4 separate regions of the Mus musculus genome follow, and regions 2, 3 and 4 are each reported to be linked to region 1. Evidence: microRNA targets listed by miRTarBase, many of them from high-throughput screens and not tested one by one. Region 1 holds a microRNA gene; each other region holds the end of a gene's coding sequence.
Evidence for each region. The annotated mature microRNA mmu-miR-297a-5p reads AUGUAUGUGUGCAUGUGCAUGU and lies in region 1 at 2,162-2,183, opposite strand. An mRNA with a match to its seed (bases 2 to 7 or 8) in the 3' UTR can be bound and repressed. Matches are read on the target gene's strand: a 7mer-m8 pairs with bases 2 to 8, a 7mer-A1 pairs with bases 2 to 7 and ends in A, and an 8mer does both.

Region 1 (3,166 bases):
CCCAAGATCACTAGTCCAGGGATAGGACCACCCACAATGGGCTGGACTTTCTTCATCAAACTCTACTTTTAAAAATGCCTTATAGCCTGGTATTATGTCTTCTGCAGACATTTTTTGAATTGAGATTCACTCCTTTCAGATGACTTTAGCACATGTCAAGTTGACATAAAATAATCCTAGCCTGCACAAATTATTAATCAGGGAGTATTTGTCTCTGGAAATACATGGCCTATAAAAAAAATCTAGTAAAGAGACATGATCCAAATTCTCTACAAGTCAAATTGTAACTTACAAAGAATACATACACAGTATTCTCCTTGAAAATTGGCAAGTGATATTCATGTTAAGTGAAAATAGACACAAAGGTATCAACATATTCTTTTCCTGAGTTTTGTTTTCACAATCTTCTGTTAAATAAAGAAAGTAAGACCTCTCTCTCTCTCTCTTTCTCTCTCTCTCTCTGTGTGTGTGTGTGTGTGTGTGTGTGTGTGTGTGTGTGTGTGTGCGTGTGTGTGTGTGTGTGTTTGTGCATGTATGTGTGCGCATGTGTTTACAGGAGTGGGCTCAACAAATATGTCAAAGTGAATAAAGTTGTTTGCATTAATATGAGCTTGCCATGATTTTACTCTTCAGACCTGAGCATAATAAAGGGACAAGTCCCTGCCATATATCAATCTATGACATCAAAGACAAGTTGGATTCTTTTTTTTTTCCATTTTTTATTAGGTATTTAGCTCATTTACATTTCCAATGCTATACCAAAAGTCCCCCATATCCACCCACCCCCAATCCCCTGCCCACCCACTCCCCCATTTTGGCCCTGGTGTTCCCCTGTACTGGGGCATATAAAGTTTGCAAGTCCAATGGGCCTCTCTTTCCAGTGATGGCCGACTAGGCCATCTTTTGATATATATGCAGCTAGAGTCAAGAGCTCCGGGGTACTGGTTAGTTCATAATGTTGTTCCACCTATAGGGTTGCAGATCCCTTTAGCTCCTTGGCTACTTTCTCTAGCTCCTCCATTGGGAGCCCTATGATCCATCCATTAGCTGACTGTGAGCATCCACTTCTGTGTTTGCTAGGCCCCGGCATAGTCTCACAAGAGACAGCTACATCTGGGTCCTTTCAATAAAATCTTGCTAGTGTATGCAATGGTGTCAGCGTTTGGATGCTGATTATGGGGTGGATCCCTGGATATGGCAGTCTCTACATTGTCCATCCTTTCATCTCAGCTCCAAACTTTGTCTCTGTAACTCCTTCCATGGGTGTTTTGTTCCCAAATCTAAGGAGGGGCATAGTGTCCACACTGGGATTAAAGGAGTATATCAGCACTCCTGTCAAAAATTTTTAATTAAAAATAGATTGGTTGATTGCACATGGGTGTTTTCCTGCATTTTTGTATGTCTGTTCAGCACCTGCATGCCTGGCACATGTAGAGGATAGAAGAGAGCATGTGTCCCCTAAAACTGGAGTCAAAAATAATTGTGAGTTACTTTGAGTGCTGTAAGTTGAACAAAGGTCTTCTAGAAGAGCAGCCAATGCTTTAACTAATGAGTCATCTCTCCTGATCCAGATTTTATTTCATTTTTTATTATGCATATACTGTGGGAGCTTGTGTATGGATCTGTACACACAAATGCAGTGCTCTCATTAGCCAGAAGAGGGCACAAGAAACCCTAGAGCTCCAAGCTTAATGGCAGGATTGTAGAAAATATATAGATTAGTCTAATTTACACAATGAATTCCCATCCAGCCAGAGTTACATGGGTAGACCCTGTCTCAAACAAATAATTATGTATGCTGAACAACCTCCAAATTGACTAGAGTGAATACCTTAAATTGATTCAGTAGCTAAAAGGGTTTGTCAGGTCCATCTCTTTATTCTGCCCCAAAGGAAGAAACATAAGCAGTCCCGTTGACAATTTAGCTGGGCACTGGAGAGATGGATGGCTTTGTGGTTCAGAACATTGGCTGCTCTCTTCGAAGCACCTGGGTTCCATATCCTGTACTGACATCAGGTGGCTAAAACCATCTTTAACTCTACTTCAGAGAAACCAACATCCTCTTGATCATCTTGAAGCACCTGCATGCTGTAGTACACATACAAACACAAGCAAATACATACATGTATGCATAATATATACATGCAATATGCATACATGCACATGCACATGCACACATACATACATACATACATATTCTTTAAATTTAGCTCTAGGGCCTGGCATGGTGGGACATGCTGTTAATGCCACCTCTGTGAGACTGTGGCCAGGCAATTCTACATAGCAAGTTCCAGACTAGTCAGCTTCATAGTGATACCCTTTCTCAAAAACAAATCAATTAGCTTTTGCACATGCATGCACTTGAGAAATTGAAGTAGGAGGGTCAGGAGTTTGGGGTTCATCCAGGCCTACATGAGATCTCCACCAAAAAACAAAATCACTTTAGCCAAAATGATTAAATTGTGAGGTGTGCAACAGTATATATGACACACAAAGATGCATGAGCTTATGTACAGGAAGAGAGCAGAAAGGACACTGAGTGGCCTGCTCTATCATTCTCTGCTTTTTCCCCAGGCAGGATCTCTCACTGTACTTAGAATGGGGCCCCAGTGTTCTTCTGTTTCTGTTCAATAGCACTGGGGATATTGGGCAGCACATACTTTTTCATGTGGGTGTTGGGAAGCTGGACACAAGTCCCTAGCTTGTGCAACAAGTGCTCTTACCCACTGAGCCACCAGGAAATATGTAGTAGATTTTTTTTTAAATTTAATATCAAAGCGAAAAAGTCTGCATGATTAAAACTAAAGCCCTCGTAGCATGGTGGTATATATCTCAGCTGAAGACAGAAGAAAGACTGTAAAACTCGAGGCCAGCATGAGCTATCTAGTAAGTTCTAGACTACCCAGAACTACCTTGTAAAACTACATTGCAAAACACAAAGACAGTGAAATAATCCATTATCAAGTATTGCAGAGAAACCCAGCTTTCCAGCGTGGAAGTGGAAAGAGCCATCTGGGACAAAGTCTGCATAAAAAGACGACTGCACAAAACATGGGGAGCAGATTTTCTAGCTTGCTCTTGCTGCAGGGGGCCTTCCTAGAGGAAACCAATTGTTCCTTCTCCATGGAGAAACTCAGATCCATGAAAGTGGGGCAACGTGACTCTG
Region 2 (3,166 bases), not on the chromosome of region 1:
ACCATTGGGTTATAAGAACTGAAATCAAGGTGAGACCAATCAGTTAAATGGTTTTTGGTGGAGCATCCAGACATGTCCTGCAGGTGTCTTGAACTGGGGTCCAAGTTAGTGGATGTAGTAGGGAGAGTTAGGCTGTGGAGCAGGACTTAAAAAGAAAATGACCCTCCTGGTCCTTGGGAGCTCAGCTAGAATGCTCCAGAAGGCAAACTTCATTTGACCTCCATTTTAAAGAGTCTCACAGCCCGCGATGGTGTCAGGAGAGGATTCTGCCACCTAAAAGATTTTCTCATTCCCTGAGGAGTTTGAGGGTGGAGGTCTGGTTCTTCAACCTCTGGTGACAAAGTCCCCAGAAGTCTTTGGAATACAACTGGTTCCTCTCCAACCCTTGTCTATTAGGACACAGGAAGAACAACTCAGAGCTGCTTAGCCTCTGCCAGGATCCTTTGGAGTCCTCATTACTCTGGCCCTAGCCCCCTGTCTTACAAGAATGTAGGTTTTTAGGAGGGTTTCAGAGGAGTCTGATGAACTAGCTAGTACCTCACCCCCCTTCTCCCAAAGGCTCCAGCGTGTGGTCCCCCTAACTCCACATCTGCAGAAAAGTGGTTCAGCTCCATGGAGATATGGGCAAAAAAGTTCAGGATGTTCAGAAATTAAAAGTACAAGAGATTGTGCATTTGAGGAGCCTGGCATGGTCACTGTCTCTCCTGCAGTGCAAGAAAACTGTGTGTGAGAAGTTGTGCGCTGGGGGTGGAGGCCGTTCTAGAAATGGTGGCATCAGAGAGGGCCGCAGACTCACTGTCCTGGTGGAGGTCAAGGTGCTGGCGTGCATGCATACCTATGAGCATGCATACCTATGAGCATGCAACTACTTAAGGGGAATCGCTGCACCTCTCTCTTGACAAAACTAGGTTACTAATAAAGGATGGACAGCAGCCTTGAGATCCCAGGAGCAGACGGGACAATGTTTACTTTCGTTTCTCTTCCCCAGTCCTTATAAGCAGCCTGACAGGCCCTCCTAACACTAGGCAGCCCTCACCCATAGGTAAACAACACCCCTTAAGAATCCCAAAAGCAGGTCAGGAAACTGGAGGACCTGGATGACTTCCAACCACAGGAAACAAGGGAAAGAAAAGACACCGGAAAAGACCAACACGGGAACACATTCGCCTCTGCCCTGCCCACCCCTCTTCCAAAGCTCAGAACAGCTGCCTCTGGGGCCTGCAGTATGCTCACAGGATGCAGGGCACAGTCATATCTGTACCCAAAACATTTTGCGAGCCTGGATGGAAGCTAAGGCTGGGTTTGTTTTTAAGTGCCTCTGCTCTGACAGCTACAACTGCCCTGATGTCCGACTGACTTTTCAAAGTGTAGTGCCCCTTCTGCCTCTGTAACAAGACTACCTGCCTTCCAGTCTGGTGGGGGAGCACAGAACTCTAAGCCACACTCTGTATCGCCATTCTGGGACAGAGACCACTAGGTTCCAACCCTTCAGATGACAAAACCCCCACACTCTGCAGGAGTGAGGCAGCCTTGTTAGCACAGAGAAGATAAATGTGAGGTCCTGTGTATCTCCAGACCTATTCTAACAGAGCAGGACTGGGCTTTTCCGACTTCTCCTTTGCAGAGCAGCCTTCTATAGAAGGTACAGAACCCCACCTGAGCTGATTAGAAGGTTGACAGAAGGGATGGCATACATGGAAAATCAGGTAGGTCTGGCTGGCTGCTACATCAAAGAGGCTGGTTTCCCCATTCTTCTAGCAAGTGTGGCAGCCCTTGTGCCACAGTGGTGGCAGCCATCACAATGCTCTTTCCTCAGTATCCCTGACTCTTGTCCTGACAGACAGACACTGGAAGTCAAATACTAATTAAAGCTTTCCCCCAGCCAGGGAATTAGCCTACCTGGAATTTATGCCCTATCTACAAGTTGTATGCTATGACAGGGACCTATTAATTCATTCTGTACCCATCTGTGCCACCTGCCCCAGGACAAGGCACAGACACAGTGTCCTACATTGCTGCCATAACTAACAGTCGAGAGGCCAGGCTCCTGCAGAGATCCACCCACTCAGGACTCCCAGGGAAAGAAGACGGCTCTAGTGAGAAGTCTCCCAGCAGCTTTAGGGAGTGTTATTGATCCAGGTCTCAGCCTTTTCCTGACTCATTTCCCAAAGGTTTCCAGTTCTCTAGCTATCAATGTGACTTCCCGACCAGAGAAGACACTGCAGCTTCCCAGCATGGCTCCTGTGGAGGCTCCCCCAAACACACACAACCTCACAGGTGTGGGTGGGCAGAGACAGAAAAAAAAAACATTGTTTTTCAAATGGTTTTCTCTTAAGGAGCTAGGGATGACCTCAAAAAAGTTTAGGGAATTTGCTCCTCCCCTCCGCCCTTTCCTCGTTCCTGTCCCCCTCCCCCACACTGAGAATAGCCAAGGCTTTGGGTAGGGGTGTGGCATCTGCCTGAGGATATCCATAGGTGAAACTCGCAGCATCCACACCCTCACTGGGGTCTTGCCTCCTCCGGCGCCTGTGACCGATTCCCTGGTGGTCAGGAGGAACCCACTCCCTTGGGCATCCAGCCCTCTCTTCCACCCTGTCATATCCCTCAGGGGTACCTCTCCTGGGGCAGAACCTCCCCATCAGCCTACGCTGCTCACACCACAATGGGTGTATCAGAAAAGACCGAGCTGACCGACTCTGGATCGGACATCCTCCGTTGGCCCTTGCCTGTAGCTTCGGGCACCGGCAGAGTGTTGCCTGGCTTGAGTTTGCCATTTTGACCCTGCCCGGGTCCAGCAGGTTCCAGGAAGGCCACCCGCCGGTCAAAACCATCATCTTTGTCCCCACCAGCCATAGGGTCGTGGTTGGGTGTGGTACTGAGCATAGAAGAGCTGAGGCTATCTCCTTGGTGGCTGGAAGGTTTCTCCACACCCCGACACCAGCAGCGGCAAGGGGTGAGGTACAAGTATATGAGGACCAGAACCACACTGAGGATACAGCCCACCAGGGTAGTGTAGGCTGTGTTGAGGGTGTCATGGTGTCCGTGCAAGGTGAAGTTATACACTTTCAACTCCACAGACAGTGTCTCGTTGAAAGTCTCCCCCATGGCGTAACAGGTATACACACCCCCATCCTCGACCTGCACCTTTTTAAAAAAAAGGTCGCCA
Region 3 (3,166 bases), not on the chromosome of region 1:
GGGTCTCTGTCTTTACATTGTGCTTGTACACTTTTTTTGTGCCCACTCACAGGCCAGATTGCGTGTGTCAGGTCTCTACCATATCGGTTCTGAGGACTGGACTCAGAGCATTAGGCTTGGTGACAAGCATATTTAACTGAGCCTTCTTGCTGGGTTTTTGGGGTTTTTTGTTTTGTTTTTTCAAGACAGAGTTTCTCTGTGTAGCCCTGGCTGTCCTGGAACTCATTCTGTAGACCAGGCTGGCCTTGAACTCAAATCAACCTGCCTCTGCCTCCCAAGTGCTGGGATTAAAGGCGAGCTCCACCACACCCTGCCCTTGCTGGGTTTCTGGAAACAGGGTCTCACTTCCCTTTCTCTTCAGAGTAAATAAGTCCTGCTGGACGGGGCACAGCCACCTTTCCAGCCTCTCAAGTGTGACTTTATTTTCCCCAAAGGCAGTTTAAACAAGATTCTTGAGGGTTAAGTGTACTTCAACATCGAGTTTTCAGCAACTGAAATCATGTTGGATACTAGGAACTCAACTCCAGTCAAGCTGTTTTTTTATTTGTCATGATCCTGTTCAACCATAACAATGATTTCCAAACACGTCTATGCCCAGGAAACTGGGGTTTTGGTGTTTTGTATGATTTGTGTGTATGCACACCATGCGGAGGTCAGAGCAGGCTGGGGTTGTCTTGGTCTGTAGAGCTCCACCTTACTGCCTTGAGACAGGATCGTTTTGCTTTTTAAGTGATCCAGGATGGCCTAGAACCCATGATCCTCCAGCTTCCATCTTCTGAGTACTGGGATTACATGTATGTGCCAGCATACTAAGCCTTCACAGTTGACTTTTATAAAAGACTACCTCTATTTAATACTGAATTATTGTAACAGAAAATAACTAAGCTACAAGGGTGACTCAGCAGTAGAGCACTTGCTTAATCCCTGGGATCAACAAAAGGAAAGGAAAACGACTAAATAAATGATTACCACTTGAGAAAAGCTACCAACTAAAGACATGAACAATATCACTGAATGCTATGCAGTATGATTATGGGAACACACAATGCTATGCCTAGGGGGGAAAAAGAATAGCAACTGGACAGTCAATTGCCTATTCCTATAGTTCCTATTTTCTACCTTTTTTCTCTGTGTAGCCCTGGCTGCCCTTAACTCTGTAGACCAGGCTCTCCTGCATCACCAGCACCCAGCATGATTTCTGTCTTTAGAGTGAATCAACTGTGAAATGACTGTAGAATCAATCTAAAAATGCTAGTGTTTCAGCTGGACACGCTGTACTCAGGGCCATCTATGCAGCGTGTGCCGTGTCTTCCCTGTGCTCTCAGGCATGGCCCAGAATCAAACTGATTGGAGACAGACTCTTCGAAGTTTGCCGTTTTCAGCTCCACTCAAGCTCCTGCCTTTGGAGCTTTTAACAGGCACTGAGCATCTCATTCTCTCGTGTGCATGTGTACACTTCCCCAGCCCCACGGCAAGGTTTTATTACTTAAGTAGTTTTACCTTTAGGGTCTCCACTTGGAGTTGGAATCCTCTGGGCAGCAAGAGGATTTGTAAAGTGACCTGCAATTCTTAAAGCCTCTCTAGGCATTTTCAACTCATTTAAAAAAGTATCCTGTGTATGTGCCCATGTAGAAGTTAAAGAACCACCCCAGAGCTGGCTCTTTCCTGACACTGTTTGCTTCCAGAGCTCAAACTCGGGTTATCCAACCTATCAGCAAATGTCACTGAGGCCTGCTCAATTTTTAAAAGAAACACCAAAATTAAATAATAAATAAAGTCCATGGAATTGAGGCTTGGTGAAGTCCTGATAAAGCACAGGATTCGCATACCCCATCTGCATGTGTAAGCAGAGGGCCATTGAGGCAGACTAGGTTACCTCAGCCTCCACAGGCACTTGCACATGCAGGTGTACAGATACATGAACAAGGGTACCCGAACATCTGCCTCACGATGGCTACAAAGACTTTAGAGTTCATTTCTTAGCCTGAAGAGTAAGAGTTAACAAGGAGAACACACCACCATACAGACCAGAAAACAGCAGTACTAAACTTGAGCAAGAATAAAAGGAAAATAAAATCTTTTAACTTAGAGAAAGGATGCCCCAATACTCACTAAAAAATCTCCTAAAAATGTAAACAAAGTTGGGTCTGGAGAAGAGAACTGGCTGCTGTTCTCTAGAGGGCCCAAGTTTGATTTCCAGCACCCTTTTCTGGCCTGCAAATATGTGGGGCAGGCATACATGTAGGTGAAAATGCCCACGTACATACAAAGGCAGAGCTATCTTCAGACTTACTGTAGAAAGACCGTACACCAAGCTATAGACCTTTATACATTCATAAGCACAAATTTTATTCCAAATAAATCATTCTATAATTACTGAAAGATGTTATTTGGTTTGGCCATGTATTTAATAAAGCATCTAAAAAACATAAAATGTTTTACAAATTAAGCTATACAAAATAACTTAATTAAAAGCTAGACTGATACAGTCTGTAAGATTCCTTTCAGAGCACTGTGTTTATAAATCACGTATGCTTTTTAAGTGGGTAAAAGAAAGGATGCTTTAGGGCTTCTTTGAGAGTAATTCTTTTGGCGGGATCATACTCCAACATTTTCCCAATGAGGTCAAAGAGAAGCTCATGTTCGGCATCCTGAGATAGCATAAACTCCTGAAACAGAAAGACAAACATTTCTTACTGCTGCACTTTCTTCTAACATAAAAACAGAAGGAACCATTTACAATCATGGGATGCCAGGTTACCAGGCCTCTCTTTTGGAGGTCGATGAAAATTTCTGAGGCCATCCTGGACTACATATTTTTATGTCCCTGAACAAGACCCCATCTCAAAAAGCAATTCAAAACCAGAAACAGAGACCTTCAGAGGGTGAAGGTCAGCAGACTGTAACAATCAGGATTCTCTATAGCCCAAAAGTGGTAGCATGCATGTCCTGGTTAAAGAGTATCCAAGGCCTACCTTCAGAGGTTTACAGCGCCGAGAAACATATCTGCCAGCAGAACTGTGTTCATCCCAATCTAATCGATCATGATGGAAATATCTGCGTTTCCTAAAACAGTTAAATGTTCACATTTACCATGCTGACTTCCCCAAAGTCAAAATAGCAAAGGTAAAGATTTGTATTAGGATATTAGACTATCTAATCTTTT
Region 4 (3,166 bases), not on the chromosome of region 1:
GTAAGCATCATCACACAATTTTACAGGTTAAAAAGGTCCTTGTGACTGTGGTATCTCTGATTCTATACCTTGAGATACTGAAAGGAATGAGTAAACGTAAATAGATTATGAAAGCCACATACCACACTTGCTGGATGTGACATAGCAAGAGTCTGCATGCACCCTCAACAGCTTCCTATTTTGATAACTTCCTTTTTTTTCTGAGTGGAAAACCTCAAAGTGTTCAGGAAGTCTCTGTTTTGACATTATACAGCTATTTGGCATATCACCTTTGCTTCCTGAAAAACGAGTGCTTATAAAAATCACATCTGAGCAAGGCTTTAGTTCCTGATGCCAGGCTGTCACTGGCTAAGCAGTAATCAGTGTCCCACCTCGTGCATCTGCCCACCTGCCCTTGCGTGTGGCCACTGAGCTGTACACTTCCAGCCAGCAGACAGCAAGCACCTACAGCTTGGCTCTGCCACACAGGTTTCGTGCTGCAATGCTCAGCCTTGGGGAAAGGACTTCTCATTAAAAATCAAAGCTCCTCTGTGAGAGCACCCTTGGGGGTAAGGGGTGCTGACCATAATTTGGCCCCTCTTCCAGCAAAGATGTGATGTGAAGGGCCTGAGGCCTCAGGCTCGCCTTTCCAGATAGACAGTATCTGCTAGTGTGGGTTCAAGAGGCCAGCTGTTTTCTTCTTCTTCTTTCTTTCTTTCTTTTTTTTTTTTTTTTTTTTTGTCAGTGATCTGACATCTATAAGGAAATTCGTCCTATGTTCCTTTCACAGGCGTCTGAAACATCAGCACTGCGTATACTCCTATGTAACTGAATGACAGTTGCTCTGAAGGAAATGGTCACGTGCATCAGGCCATCTTTGCCTCTGGCAGGAAAAATCACTTAACAGAGTATAATTTTAATTAGCACATTCTGTTTTTTACTTTCATTGGAAGATCCTGCCAGTCTCTGCTCTCTATACTCTCCTTCAAAACCCTCACATATCACATATGATTAGTATGTACTTACATTCTTTTTAAGAGTATGAAAACATCCAAAGGCTTTCAATAAGACTTTCCATTTCCCTTTTGCAGCAAAGAGGCAAAATCAGTTCAACACACCAGTATAAGGGGAAAAAGAAAAACCTTAACAAATTAAAATAATACTCAAACCACAACATTTAGTTTATCTACATCAGCTCAACAGCAACATTTATAATATATCAATAATTTTTATCAGATTCTTCTCTGTAGGGTACCTTTCTCATATGTTCTGATTATTTACACTGTACAAGCAGAGCACACTCCCAAGTGCACAGATTTAACACAGTAGCGACTATTTGCATTTACAGGACTTTTCAACAATCTGAAAAAAGATCAACTGTTGAAGATCTGTAGGTATGTTACAAAAACCACTGGAGTTCTTGTACAACAGTATGCGTTCTCAGCAAAACCAACACCAGGAGATCCGCATGGCAACTGAGTAACCGATCCACTCCCGCCAACCCAGGGGCAGGTCTCCGTGAGCTCTAAGCTGTCTTATACAAAAGTTAAGGCAAAGTCATTTTCAAGTTTAAATAAAATTCAAGTCTTTAAATATTGGATGGAAATAATTTTTTTCCTTAGAAAAAAAAAAAGAAAAAAGAAACCAAAACAACCTTCAGTCTCATTAAATAGCATTTTGTGGAATAAGCTGTATGGTTACATATAGCAGGAAATAGTTTAATGTCTGCTGCTTAGAATACTTAAAGAAAAATCTTAGGCGTTTTAAAACAAAATAATTTATCTGTAACTTTATTATGAACTTGCTAACTTGACTGCACTCTCGCTCCTCAGAAGTGCAGCTTCTGAAACAATCAAGAAAACCCTCGTCCTGGAGGTAAAAGAGCAAGGACTCTGTCCTCGCAAGCCAGAGGGGACCACCGACAGCACTCTCTCACGGCTAGGTACTTCTAAATCCACGTGCTGATGCAGAGGGACAAGAAGACATCCACACAGAGCTGGCTAAGACACGACTCTCCAGAGTGTGGGGGACACAGAGAGAGCATGGAGGATGAGAGCCAGGTAGCCACTCACTCACAGGGACACACATCGTGTACAACTTCTGACATCAGTGGGCAGCAGCAGTTTCTAATTCCATCTAGGTTCTATTCACAATGTGCTTTGAATTTATTTTACATAGTAGCCACTTGGAACTGGAGTGAGAGGCTGGTTACTTGCTCGCAGGACATCAAAACTCAAAGGTTTCAGGTCTTTCTAGGGTGCTCTTTGCAGGTTCTGCCCACTAGATCAAAAAAGAACTGTATGTACATCTGTATCTTGTTTTAAAGCTAGAGTTACCTGTTGCTAAGGGTTTAGATGAAAACACAGCTCCTATGCCAGTCTGTCAGTGTCCTGACATGCCAGTCCCTTGCTCTGTGAGGCCAAGGCTGCCCCTGCCCCTGCCATCAGCCCCCATCCATCTGCTGGACACCCTACCAATGCGCACTTGTAGACCAACTATTAAAAAAAAAAAAAAAGGAAGTAGCAGAGTTCCCTTAATTTAGAAAAACTCATTATAGCTTTGCACTCAGAGCCACGTGGAGGCTTAATAAAAAATATCCATTTGTTAGGATAAATACATTTTCTATCCTGAAAACACCAGACTTCTGTATCACCTCCAGTTAAGCACCAACCTAAAATAAGGTTTATATTATATAATTAAATCCTGAAAAATACATTTTTTTTTCCAAGAGGGGGAATATCCGACTCACAGAAGGAAGTAACTTGCAGGTATCCCACGGGCCCCACAGACACTGCAAGCTCCTAACCAGCGGCTCATTCCGTACTGAGTGGGAGAGCTTCTCACGGTGGGTACAGCTCTTCCAGAGCCCTCGCAGGCACGCAGCTCTCACTGAGGAGACTTGGGAGGCGTGTTCTGTTCCTTGCTCAGGCGTTTCCCGGCAGCTGGAGGAGAGGCTCGGCGCCCAGGCTGCCTCCTCTGATCCTTGGGGACTCCAGGCGTGGACTTAAGGGCAGGGGGCTCTCGGTGTCTCTCGACAGGCTCAGACAGCTGCTTCTCCTCCTTCCCACAGGCGACAGTGCTTGGCTTTTGTTCTTTTGGGGGTTGCAATGGAGAGGAGGAAGAAGGGTCTTTACTCGTTCTCTGACAAATCTCTGCATAACTGGGCTTTCTCAATTCCTGGAAACAT

Region 2: miRTarBase lists Amigo1 as a target of mmu-miR-297a-5p. Seed matches in the 3' UTR shown: 7mer-A1 at 1,925-1,931.
Region 3: the mRNA of Clk1 is a reported target of mmu-miR-297a-5p. The part of its 3' UTR that is shown has no 7-base or 8-base seed match.
Region 4: miRTarBase lists Larp4b as a target of mmu-miR-297a-5p. Seed matches in the 3' UTR shown: 7mer-m8 at 2,277-2,283.

Annotation. Positions count from the first base shown.
Region 1 is chr7:10,956,316-10,959,481 of GRCm38, forward strand. Mir297-1 (microRNA 297-1) reads right to left here and starts at 2,197; the gene lies at 2,122-2,197.
Region 2 is chr3:108,188,152-108,191,317 of GRCm38, reverse strand. It overlaps Amigo1 (adhesion molecule with Ig like domain 1), which reads right to left. Exons shown (of 2, transcript NM_146137.3): 2 at 1-3,166. The coding sequence ends at 2,653. Among named protein-coding and RNA genes, the nearest start is that of Amigo1, 3.4 kb to the right of the region's middle.
Region 3 is chr1:58,409,672-58,412,837 of GRCm38, forward strand. It overlaps Clk1 (CDC-like kinase 1), which reads right to left. Exons shown (of 13, transcript NM_001042634.2): 12 at 2,976-3,066; 13 at 2,317-2,669. The coding sequence ends at 2,526. Among named protein-coding and RNA genes, the nearest start is that of Clk1, 13 kb to the right of the region's middle.
Region 4 is chr13:9,170,642-9,173,807 of GRCm38, reverse strand. Larp4b (La ribonucleoprotein domain family, member 4B) reads right to left here. Exons shown (of 18, transcript NM_172585.3): 18 at 1-3,156. The coding sequence ends at 2,866. Among named protein-coding and RNA genes, the nearest start is that of Larp4b, 78 kb to the right of the region's middle.